3 linked regions of the Saccharomyces cerevisiae S288C genome follow. Each later gene encodes a partner of the first gene's protein in a complex. Each region holds a gene or a part of one and is shown on either strand. Other genes may lie near its edges.

Region 1 (2,646 bases):
TTTTTTCCCGTATAATTCCAATATATCAGCGCATCTTGCTGATATTTTCTGTTCTATAACAATTTAATAAGGGCTGACAAACAAAAGTAATCACTTCGACAAGTACAAAATGGGTCTATTTAATAACTTCAAGTTTAAATATACAAGGGCGCAACTGGAGATCTTTAGATTTTCATTTTGTTTGCTAGCACCTGTTGCTGTAATGTACTATATTGGTACAGATACTGATAAAAAATTAAATGTTCCAGGGTTTTGGCCAGATCCTGCAACGTTGAACCAAATACCAAAAGAGCCTTATGAGATTAAAGCTGAACTGGCAAGGATGAAAAAAGAACGTTTAGAGAAAAGGCTTAGGTTGGAGAAAAAGATACAAGAGGAGTTTGGTTTAGACCTTGAGGAGGAAAAAGAAAAAATTAAACGGGATTTGGCTCTCAAAAAAGGATGAGAAAAGAAAACGGTTAAAGATGTATACTTGCACCTGACCACTTTTTCTTCCTTATATTTATTATTCTAACATGTACATACCTGTATAGTCGTATTTCCACTAGATCATCACTTCCCCTCTATATTCATGTCTGACCTGGTTATGCAGGTCATGCTCTATTCAAATAGTATTGAAAAAGCTGAATGAGCAATAATTACTGATTTTCTTCTTCATCCATAGGATTATATATATTCTTAGATAATAGCCTATTTAGCTCATGCTTAACAAATTCGACTTTCGAGGGATTTACTAAAAGATGGGTGTCATCCAACTCCTCTAGTACTATATCACTCATCTTGGCGTCAATTTGTAATATGAGCGCCTTGATGGATGGATCACATTGAACCAGTGCACCCTTTCTTGCTCTAGCCATTTTTTCGTTCTTTTACAAAAGTATCTTGGCTTTGTCTCTATTGGGAGTACACTTCTATCTTACTGCAGTTTGCTCGTCTTTTTTCAATAATACGATACAAAAGAAAAATTAAAAGGGCTATTGAGACTGTTGTAAAATATATATGCAAAATAAAAAAGCATTTTAACGAAGAGTATATACCTACTATTAGACATTAATGACTACAGATAATCATCAGAATGATTCTGTTTTGGATCAACAATCAGGCGAACGAACAATTGATGAGAGTAATTCCATCTCTGACGAGAATAATGTTGATAATAAGAGGGAAGACGTTAATGTAACTTCACCAACAAAAAGTGTTAGTTGCATATCACAAGCGGAAAATGGAGTAGCTTCTCGAACAGATGAGAGTACAATAACAGGAAGTGCGACGGATGCAGAAACAGGTGATGATGATGATGATGATGATGATGACGATGATGAAGATGAGGATGACGAAGATGAGCCCCCCTTATTGAAGTACACACGAATTAGTCAACTCCCGAAGAACTTTTTTCAACGAGACTCGATCTCTTCATGTTTATTTGGTGATACTTTTTTTGCATTTGGTACACACTCAGGCATTCTACACTTAACTACATGCGCGTTCGAACCCATTAAAACCATCAAATGCCATAGATCTTCGATACTTTGTATTAACACTGACGGAAAATATTTTGCTACGGGATCTATTGACGGGACAGTGATTATCGGATCGATGGATGATCCACAAAACATTACACAATACGATTTCAAAAGACCTATAAACTCTGTAGCGTTGCACTCAAATTTTCAAGCATCCAGAATGTTTGTTTCTGGTGGAATGGCTGGCGACGTTGTACTATCTCAGAGAAATTGGCTAGGAAATAGAATCGACATCGTTTTAAACAAGAAGAAAAAGAAAAAAACAAGAAAAGATGACCTATCCTCTGATATGAAGGGCCCTATCATGGGAATTTATACTATGGGTGACCTTATATTATGGATGGATGATGATGGAATAACATTTTGCGATGTTCCTACAAGATCACAGCTTTTGAATATTCCATTCCCCTCCAGAATTTTTAACGTACAGGATGTAAGGCCAGATCTATTTAGACCCCATGTTCATTTTTTAGAAAGTGATCGTGTCGTTATCGGATGGGGATCTAATATTTGGCTATTTAAAGTTTCCTTTACCAAGGATTCAAATTCGATCAAATCCGGTGACTCTAATTCTCAAAGTAATAATATGAGTCATTTTAACCCTACGACAAACATCGGATCTCTCTTGTCTAGTGCTGCATCGAGTTTTAGAGGGACACCTGATAAGAAAGTTGAATTAGAATGCCATTTTACTGTGTCAATGTTGATTACAGGGCTTGCATCGTTTAAGGATGATCAGTTATTATGCCTAGGTTTTGATATAGATATTGAAGAGGAAGCAACCATAGATGAAGATATGAAGGAGGGGAAGAATTTTAGCAAGCGGCCAGAAAACTTATTAGCCAAAGGGAATGCTCCAGAATTAAAAATTGTTGATCTTTTTAATGGTGATGAAATCTATAATGATGAAGTTATCATGAAAAACTATGAAAAATTGTCTATAAATGATTATCACCTCGGTAAACATATAGATAAAACAACACCAGAATACTATTTGATAAGTTCCAACGATGCCATCAGGGTTCAAGAGTTATCATTGAAGGATCATTTCGATTGGTTTATGGAAAGAAAGCAATATTATAAAGCTTGGAAAATCGGTAAATATGTAATTGGATCAGAAGAG
Region 2 (4,870 bases), on another chromosome or scaffold:
TTTGGCGCAGATGTTGATTCAGGGTGTATGGGACGTTGATAATCCGTTGAGACAGATTCCACACTTCAACAACAAAATTTTGGAAAAATGTAAAGAAATTAACGTCGAGACGGTCTATGATATAATGGCCCTTGAGGATGAAGAGAGGGATGAAATTTTAACGCTTACTGATTCACAGCTTGCGCAGGTCGCCGCGTTTGTTAACAATTACCCCAACGTTGAACTTACTTATTCGTTGAATAATTCTGATTCGTTAATTTCAGGTGTAAAACAGAAAATTACCATTCAATTGACAAGAGATGTTGAACCTGAGAACTTACAAGTAACATCTGAAAAGTATCCGTTTGATAAGCTAGAAAGTTGGTGGTTGGTTTTAGGTGAAGTATCTAAAAAAGAGCTTTATGCGATCAAGAAAGTTACTTTAAATAAAGAGACTCAGCAATATGAATTGGAATTTGACACTCCGACATCTGGTAAACATAACTTAACAATTTGGTGTGTCTGTGATTCATATCTTGACGCAGATAAAGAGTTGTCCTTTGAAATAAATGTGAAATAAAATCATTGTTTAGTCCTGGATAATCGAATGGATTTCAATATATAACATTCTCTTGCGGCTATTTAATCTAATTGTGATATATACAGTTTATAGCAAAAGCGTATCATTGCATCACTGCATTTCTATATCTTCATCTTCATCTTCATCCTGTTCTCCTTCTTTGTTTTCGTTTTCAATAAATCCACCTTGATCTTTTCTGCTATTCTGGTGCTTTATTAAATCTTCATAACTCCAAACAGATACACCCTCTTGGTCTTTAGGGTCTGTGGGTTGTGCCATTGTTCTCAAGAATTGTTTGGTATTGGATATGGCCATGTCAGTCGAAAGGTTCAAATCGGCGTCAGACAAACCTTGAGCAATCCATTTTGGTAACTGGCTTCTTTTTCTTGAAAACCTACGGTCTGCTAGTACCATTACACCATAGTCGTCCTTCCCTCTCAGTACTCTCCCCAGACATTGAGCTGCATGTCTCATCGCATCGAAAGATAAGAAGTCGTTTTCTCTGATGCGATAGTTCTCCCTCATGAATTCTAGGCGAGCTTTCAAAATACGCGATTCTGTGTATTGAAACGGGATACCTATCATCAGCACAGTTCTGCCATATTGATGATCAAAATCGATACCTTCAGATACCTTTCCTCTAGCAACAGAAAGCAAAATTGCCCCACGCCCATTTGAGCAAGCCTTTCTATAGGTTTCTAAGGCTAAAGAAGTTTCTTGAGCATCAGGAGTCTCAACTAAAATTAATTTATGTTTCCAAACTTCGTCAAGAATACCCATTGTTTGCCACATTGAAACAATACTTTCCATATATAGATATGAGGGGAAAAAAACAACCATTCCATCAGGTGTGATCTTGGCAAACTCTACTAGCATAGAACCGTAATTACGAACAATACTAGGATCGTTTCTGATTTCAAATCTTGAAGAAATTGCAACTTGATCAGAACCCTTGGTAATAATCATTGGTAGAAATGATTTTTTGGCTAAGGTCATGGCATATGATTTTTGTAAAACAGTTTTAAAGTTTAACATTCTTGGATACATGTCTAATGGTGATATGGTCCCTGAAGTGATAATAACGGAAGAAAATCTCTCAAAGACTGGTTTGATGGCAATCGATGCATCTAAGCAAGTAAATCTCATAATCGGATTCGGAACTGCAGCATTTTCGATTTCATACGGTTCAATAATTAGTAAAAACCCTTCCTCATATGTTGATATAAGAGTAGCAAAAGTTGCTATGTCTTTCAATGCAGTAAAATCTTCTACCTCTGTAACTTCTAAAGTTCTTACAAGTAATGATAGCCTTTCTGAGCAAAACCGAAGAGGTTTCCTTTCTATGAAAGTTAACTGTTTTAAATGCTGTAGAAATGATTTTGGCGTTTCTGAAATAACGTGAAGAACTTTCATTCTGGTCTTCAGATATTCTATCAATCTTTTCAAAAATGAAACAAAATGCTCGGCTCTTCGTATATTTCCCGGGATTGCTTCTGTTAGAAGATCTTGGGGCAATACAGGTGTTTCCACAAATGGCTCTTCCTGGTCGGTAAGAATATCTGCAGAATGGAGACCTTGAACTAGTTTTTCGTATTCATCCTGTAATTTCTGTGAGTCAACCTTTCTGACCTCAGAAATACGTTCATCTAACGCATTAGCACCTCGTGTGGCTCTTCTCAATGCATCCGTTGTCAAGTCTAATGACAGCGATTCGATACACACATTATCAATATTGTGCGCTTCATCAAAAATGACAATGCTATCTTTAGAAACCTCGTTGGAAACTCTTTCAGCAATTTTAGGATCTAATAGATAATGGTAAGAATAAATAATAATGTTACAAAGAGAAATCATACGACGAACAATAAAATATGGACAAAGTGTTTTTTCTTCGCAGTATTTCAAAAGTTTTTCAAAAGAAAATACGCCTTTTGGAAGATAATCCTCTACTTCAATATTGTACAAATTCTCATGGTATTCACACAATTCTACATTTGCCTCTGGATCCTCTTCTAATTTTCTCTTCGCCTGCCCATTTGTCATTCTACGGCACTTTTCATCGACTACTGTACCTTTTCGTTCCTTACTCACTTCGGGATGCAAACACAAATTTTTTCTTGATGTCAAGCCAAGACCTCGAAAATCCTCTTGATAGCCTAGTTCTTTAGTTCTGTAATCCATAAGGTTCTCTAACTCTACTAAAGCTTTTTCAATTTCAGACATAGTACGAGAACAATATATGATCTTTCTATGTTCTGGGTAGTGCATCTGGTAGGCAATTGTGAGGGATAGTAATGAGACCGTTTTACCTGTTCCTGAAGGCATCTCCAAGATACTATTTCCACCTACATCCAGAGTCTTTTTAATATCGCACATATAATTATACTGCTCTGGATATATCTTGGGGTATGGAAAAAGCACTGGTAAATCATCTATATAAAACTTCATTGTTTCCAATCTTCTTAAAGTGTAGTCAAATCGGGCCGATTATCACCTTCAACCCAAGATGAAATATAGTATTTCTATGAATGGCTAACAGTACTTTGTCAACTTTAAGATATACATATATATATATTTATTTATTATTTACAGACCAGAGATTTCTTTTCAAAAGCTATGTAGCATAAAGTACGCTACTTTAATTTTTCATAAATTTCATATACATCGCTTAAATGCCGTCGGCCATGATTAATATAGGATTAACTCATATCATAAAGGCTATTCAGAATATTCAAAGTGAACTGTAATCATTTGGTTGACGAGATGCTGACTTCCAACTAGAGTCACGGTTTTTCAAAGTCTCGGGGAAGGTTAACATATACTTGCAGTTAGTGTAGCGTTAAATCACCCTATTAGCCGAATTTGCTGGTTATAAGGTTCAATAATTTCGGAAGATAATATCTGATGTTTCCCCAGAGACGGTACCAAAAATCCCACTTTTTTTGTAATAATCTTTTAAAGGCTCATTTGTTTTCTTGTACTCTTCTAGCCTTTTTTTAAACACTTCCGCTGTGTCATCAAGCCTCTTGGTCAATGGTTCTCCGGTGATATCGTCTAATCCTGGCACTTTGGGAGGATTATATTGTAAGTTATACACTCTCCCACTAGGAACGTGAACATATCTGTTCTCGATCCTTTCTAATATGGTGGATTCGGGTACATCTAGCTCTACCACTAGATTCAAGCTGGCGTCATGCTGTTTCAGCAGCTCGTCTAAGGCAGAAGCTTGCGCAGTAGTTCGAGGAAATCCATCGAGCAACCACATGGCAGATGGTTTTAACCAACCCAATGCCGAAAGACGAAAAGTTATCAGACGCGTTATGAGATCATCCGGTAATAACTTGCCTTGAGCAATGTAGGTAGTAGCCTCTCGGCCTAGGGTAGATTCAGATTTTATTTCCTGACGTAAAATGTCGCCTGACGAAATTGAAGATAATTGTGGAATTTGCTTTAGTAATCTCGAAGTCTGTGTCCCTTTACCTGACCCTGGAGCCCCCAATAATAAAAGTCGAAGAGGTTTGAGTAGATGTGTTATTTGTTTCGCGTCTGCTTTCATTGATGCTTGCTAACCCTGTTCCTGAAAATTTAAAGATTTACAAACAAATATATATACGTATATTATCCTTTTCTACACATGTGTATCTATATAATGATGGTTATTGTAATGGTATTTATTAGTGAATGTGGGTTTTCGCGAATTCCCGGCCGACCGAGCACATTTTAAGAGCCTTCAAAATGAGAGATCTCGGTAAACAACTGGCAATCGTGAGTCAGTTTAAAGGTGTACTCTGTTGATTAATGGCCGCTTTCCCGTCCTGCGGTTGCACTGTAGGGTTCATTATTGGAGCATCTACTGTTGTTTCGTTTGAAATACACGGTATTTTCTTATTCAAGTGCTGCAGAACGTGATCTCTCCTTTTAAATCTTTTGCCACATTTGGGACAAGAATGAGGTTTCTCACCAGAGTGGACGGATTTTTTGTGTCTTGTAAGATGGTGACCAGAAGAGAACTTTCTTTGGCATTCCTTACAAATATAAATCTTGTTCTTACCTGATAACACGATTTCTTCGGGCGCAAACTTAGAGTTTAATGGAGAAGAGCCTTGTTCTTTGTCCAGATCGTCATTTCGGCTTGTAAAAGAATCCTCTTGGCGAGTGGATGCAACCTTTGAAAGTATAAGATTTGATTTTGATGTCTCGACAGGAGATTCCTTTTTGAGTATTCTATTTGCTGTCTTGTGATTTGGTCTTTCAGGGTGCGGTGTTTTTATGTCGTTTGTGTCACTCAGTGGCCCGAGCACAGAAGTAGAG
Region 3 (3,561 bases), on another chromosome or scaffold:
ATAACCGGTAAACTCGTAGGCATTAGTCAACACCGTCGCCTTCACAGAGTTAAACCACCTTACCCATATTTCTACATTCCTTTGAAGCCTAATCAAGGATGGCGAGATGGCGTGCCTTTTAAGGGCCCCCTCATCCTCATCATCGTACATGCTTGATTTGTGACGCGTCCTCTTTTGCAGATTCATATGATTCTTAATCGATATGGCGTTGGTTCTTAGTGCTTCTTGCCTAACACTTTTAAGATATTCAATGACATCAGGATTCACTGAAGAATCAGATAGTGCAAATGCACGAGATTGACCAAAGATGGCATCAGGCGCCTGGCTTTCTCCTCTTTTCATTGTTTATCACCTAATGTTTCTGTTATGATGGATGTTGGCAATGTTATTGTATGATACATTATCCAAAGCGAACTAATAAATCTACCGAAGCAACAACAGCGATGCACCCAGACAGTACATAGATAGTTATATTATCAAATTCGATATGATTGAAGTCAAAACAGTTCAAAGATGACACAACGTCTTAAGCTAATCACATCAAAAGCTTTTTTTTTTCTGTGGAATGTCCAATATACATGTGCTTAAAGCTAATTTTTTTTTATGTATTATTACGATGCATTGTGACGAAGGTTACCTGCTTGAAACGGATAATGTTCATTCCTTTCGTTCATGGTTTCGTCACCTTCTTTTTGGCTTTCAACCTTGGAACAACTGGTTTCCTCTTCAACTTGGCAATTACGTGCTCATCAAATTGAGAATCACAAGCAGGACATTTATTTCCGGGCGGTATGATTGATAAGACACATAGGCAAACTGAACAGATGAATCCAACGGCAACAACTCTCCCTGTTAAATAGCATGATGTCCTAAAATCTACAGATCCATGGTTTGGCTTAACAATTATAGGTCTTAACGACGGATCAATAAACATTGCAGTTGCTAAATATTGAATTAGCCCTTCTGTAGATTCAACATGTAAATAAACGCCATTTGTGGCATCCGTCGTTTGCTGTAAAAACGTGCTTTCCTTAGAACCACCAATCTTTACGACATCAATGGGACATTTCATTTTTGTTGCGGAAAAAATACAGTTCATTATAGGGATGTATTGGAAAATTTCATCTTTACTACTGCCACTCCCGCACGTAAGAACAAGTAGCCTTGATTTTAATGAGGTAGTTACTGACTCTTTTGATATTCTGTTTACATAAGTCAGCCCAGCTGACATGGCACCTGCTAGCGTGCTCCTTTGACTATTTTGTTCGATTTGTTTCTTTTCTAACTCAAATAGTTTATATATTTCTTCCACTAGCGTCTCATCAACGTTTCTAAAACGTCTATACATATCTGAGTTAATAATCTTAAGATCACTACGGGTTTTATTTTCAGATTCAGAGGCTTTTAGAGCAGATGTGCTCTCTGGGTATAAATATTTGATTCCCTGAGAGTATGCAGCAATGACTGCTACTTTGTTGGCGCTATTGAACGCTAAGTGAGCATTGAGAAATACTATCAATGCCTCTAAAACCTTTATTATACTTCCTTTCTCATTTCCTTCCTCATCAAAAGTTGTCCATAACTTTGGTGCAATTTCTATAATAACGGTAAGCAAAGATGGTGATTCTTCAGTAACCTGTTTTCTTGATCTAGCATGCTTAAACGTTGGATCAGATATTGCATCCATTTCTGATTGCTTCGCTTCAGTATATTTTATTGGATCGTGTATATTTCTACTCAAGTGTTGATTGATGTTGTAATGTTCCTTCAGGTATCTTTGAATTTCAACAGAACAAGACGAGCTGCGCGCTGAAAATAAAATAAAAGTGCAAGTGAAAAATATTGTAAAAATAAGGTAATTAAAAATATAGTTATTCGCTTATTATTGATCATTTTCATTCATTTATTTATCAAATTAATTTTACACAAACTAAAAATGTCATTTTTCGTTTGCAGTATGGACAGCATTCAATTTGCTTTTAAGTTTTCCAATCTTGGTGCGGGCTCCTTCTTTCGACTGCTCTTTTTCGAGGTTACTTAGTTTCTCCAAAGCTTCAGTGTACCTCTTATTGGAAGGTTTTATGGAACCCTTAGTTGAGCTAGTGCTTTGTCTCTTCAATTGACGATGCATTTCCTCGCTAAACTGCAGCCTCAATATGGTTTTCAAATCTTCGACAGAACAATGCGGTAATTCATTGTCTTTTATATATTCAAATAGTTCAGCTTCACTGGAGCCGCATAAAGAGTAAAAATTCATTGTGACGTTCATATTAATTTTTGATGGTTCAGAAGAAAGATTTCTATAGGCATGTTGTAAGACATTTACATTTCTCAACATTTTCTTTATCCCGTTATGGTTCAAAACTTTTATGGATTTGGCACCCTTAATCAAGGCGTAGTTGTTGACTATATCAAGACCAATAAATATGGAGTTTTTTTCCTTTTCTGGTAACTGTTGTTTCAATTTGCTTTCAGTCCTTCTTAATTCGGAAATTAGAGAAGCTATATTTTGATCTAATTCAATACTACCCACATCCATATTCCAAATTTTGGTGTTTTGAAAAAAAGACCCGATGTCGTATATACACAAGGCCCTAATGTTGAACCTCAGTATAGTGATTAGTTTGAATTTCAAGGTTTTGAATCCGTCGATAGTCTCATCAAATTTTTTGGAGGCTTTATCATCCAATAAAATTTTTAGATTTCCTAATGAATTTGGGCTGGAACTAGGGTTCGAATAGTTTAAATCCATTGATTCAGAAAATGTCCAGCTGCTCCTTAATCTATCAGCATCTAACATGGGTTCTTGGCTTACTTCATCAATATTGATAGCCTTTTTTAAGCCTGGCAGCCAGTTTAATATCCATAACACGCTTGCCGAAAACTGCAGAATTGTGTCCAATGTCAAGTTATTGAATAAATCAGATTTGCTCAAACCTTTACCCGCTTGATAGAAATGAGGTATTTCCTTAAATAACTCTATGGATTCTTCATGAAAGAGTGTCTCATCCCCATTCAGAATTTTTTGTTCTTGATCCATCAAAATACCATTCTGCAACCATGCCGTAATTATTTTCCTAGTTAAATGTCTATCAGAAGTACCAATCAAGGAATTAAATAGCCCCAAGTAGTAATTATAAAAATGATTCAAAAGATCTAGAATGCAGTACGATATTTTTTCTCTAAATGTGTTTGCTGTGTTGAAAACATTCAATAAATTGTAAAATAACCTTTGAAAATCTAATGCTGTTTTAAAAATGTTATGATTTTCATCGGATAGCTCTAAGGCGTACGGATTATTGGATTCTACTTCAACCGTGAATAAATAATCCATAGTCATCTGAATCTTTGGGAGAAAACTTTTATTCATATAATCATCGAAAAAGGTTAGGGATGAAATAGTATTTTGTGTTAAGACACTGGGAACAATTGTAGATGTCGATTGCGTAAACAGCAAAAACGGATCTAAAATTACCTTCATGTTGAAAACAGAAGGAGGGACTAGAGGCTCATCTTGTTCGAAGGATTCATCTTTTACATAAATAGAGTCTAAATCCATGT

Evidence for each region.
Region 2: TFB5 (region 1) and RAD3 share a complex: the UniProt entries of both Saccharomyces cerevisiae proteins name them as parts of the 7-subunit TFIIH core complex.
Region 3: TFB5 (region 1) and TFB4 share a complex: the UniProt entries of both Saccharomyces cerevisiae proteins name them as parts of the 7-subunit TFIIH core complex.

The regions. Positions count from the first base shown.
Region 1 is NC_001136.10:602,955-605,600, forward strand, and holds TFB5 (TFIIH complex subunit TFB5), read right to left. Parts: upstream 858-2,646; coding exon 639-857; downstream 1-638. Other genes in the region: PET100 (Pet100p), read left to right, coding at 110-445; VPS41 (Vps41p), read left to right, coding at 1,054-2,646. UniProt on the Saccharomyces cerevisiae protein: Component of the general transcription and DNA repair factor IIH (TFIIH) core complex, which is involved in general and transcription-coupled nucleotide excision repair (NER) of damaged DNA and, when complexed to TFIIK, in RNA transcription by RNA polymerase II.
Region 2 is NC_001137.3:525,219-530,088, reverse strand, and holds RAD3 (TFIIH/NER complex ATP-dependent 5'-3' DNA helicase subunit RAD3), read right to left. Parts: upstream 3,008-4,870; coding exon 671-3,007; downstream 1-670. Other genes in the region: ATP-dependent RNA helicase BRR2, read left to right, coding at 1-559; adenylate kinase ADK2, read right to left, coding at 3,438-4,115; RPH1 (Rph1p), read right to left, coding at 4,330-4,870. UniProt on the Saccharomyces cerevisiae protein: ATP-dependent 5'-3' DNA helicase.
Region 3 is NC_001148.4:669,252-672,812, reverse strand, and holds TFB4 (TFIIH/NER complex subunit TFB4), read right to left. Parts: upstream 1,688-3,561; coding exon 671-1,687; downstream 1-670. Other genes in the region: BRR1 (Brr1p), read right to left, coding at 1-342; exocyst subunit SEC8, read right to left, coding at 1,940-3,561. UniProt on the Saccharomyces cerevisiae protein: Component of the general transcription and DNA repair factor IIH (TFIIH) core complex, which is involved in general and transcription-coupled nucleotide excision repair (NER) of damaged DNA and, when complexed to TFIIK, in RNA transcription by RNA polymerase II.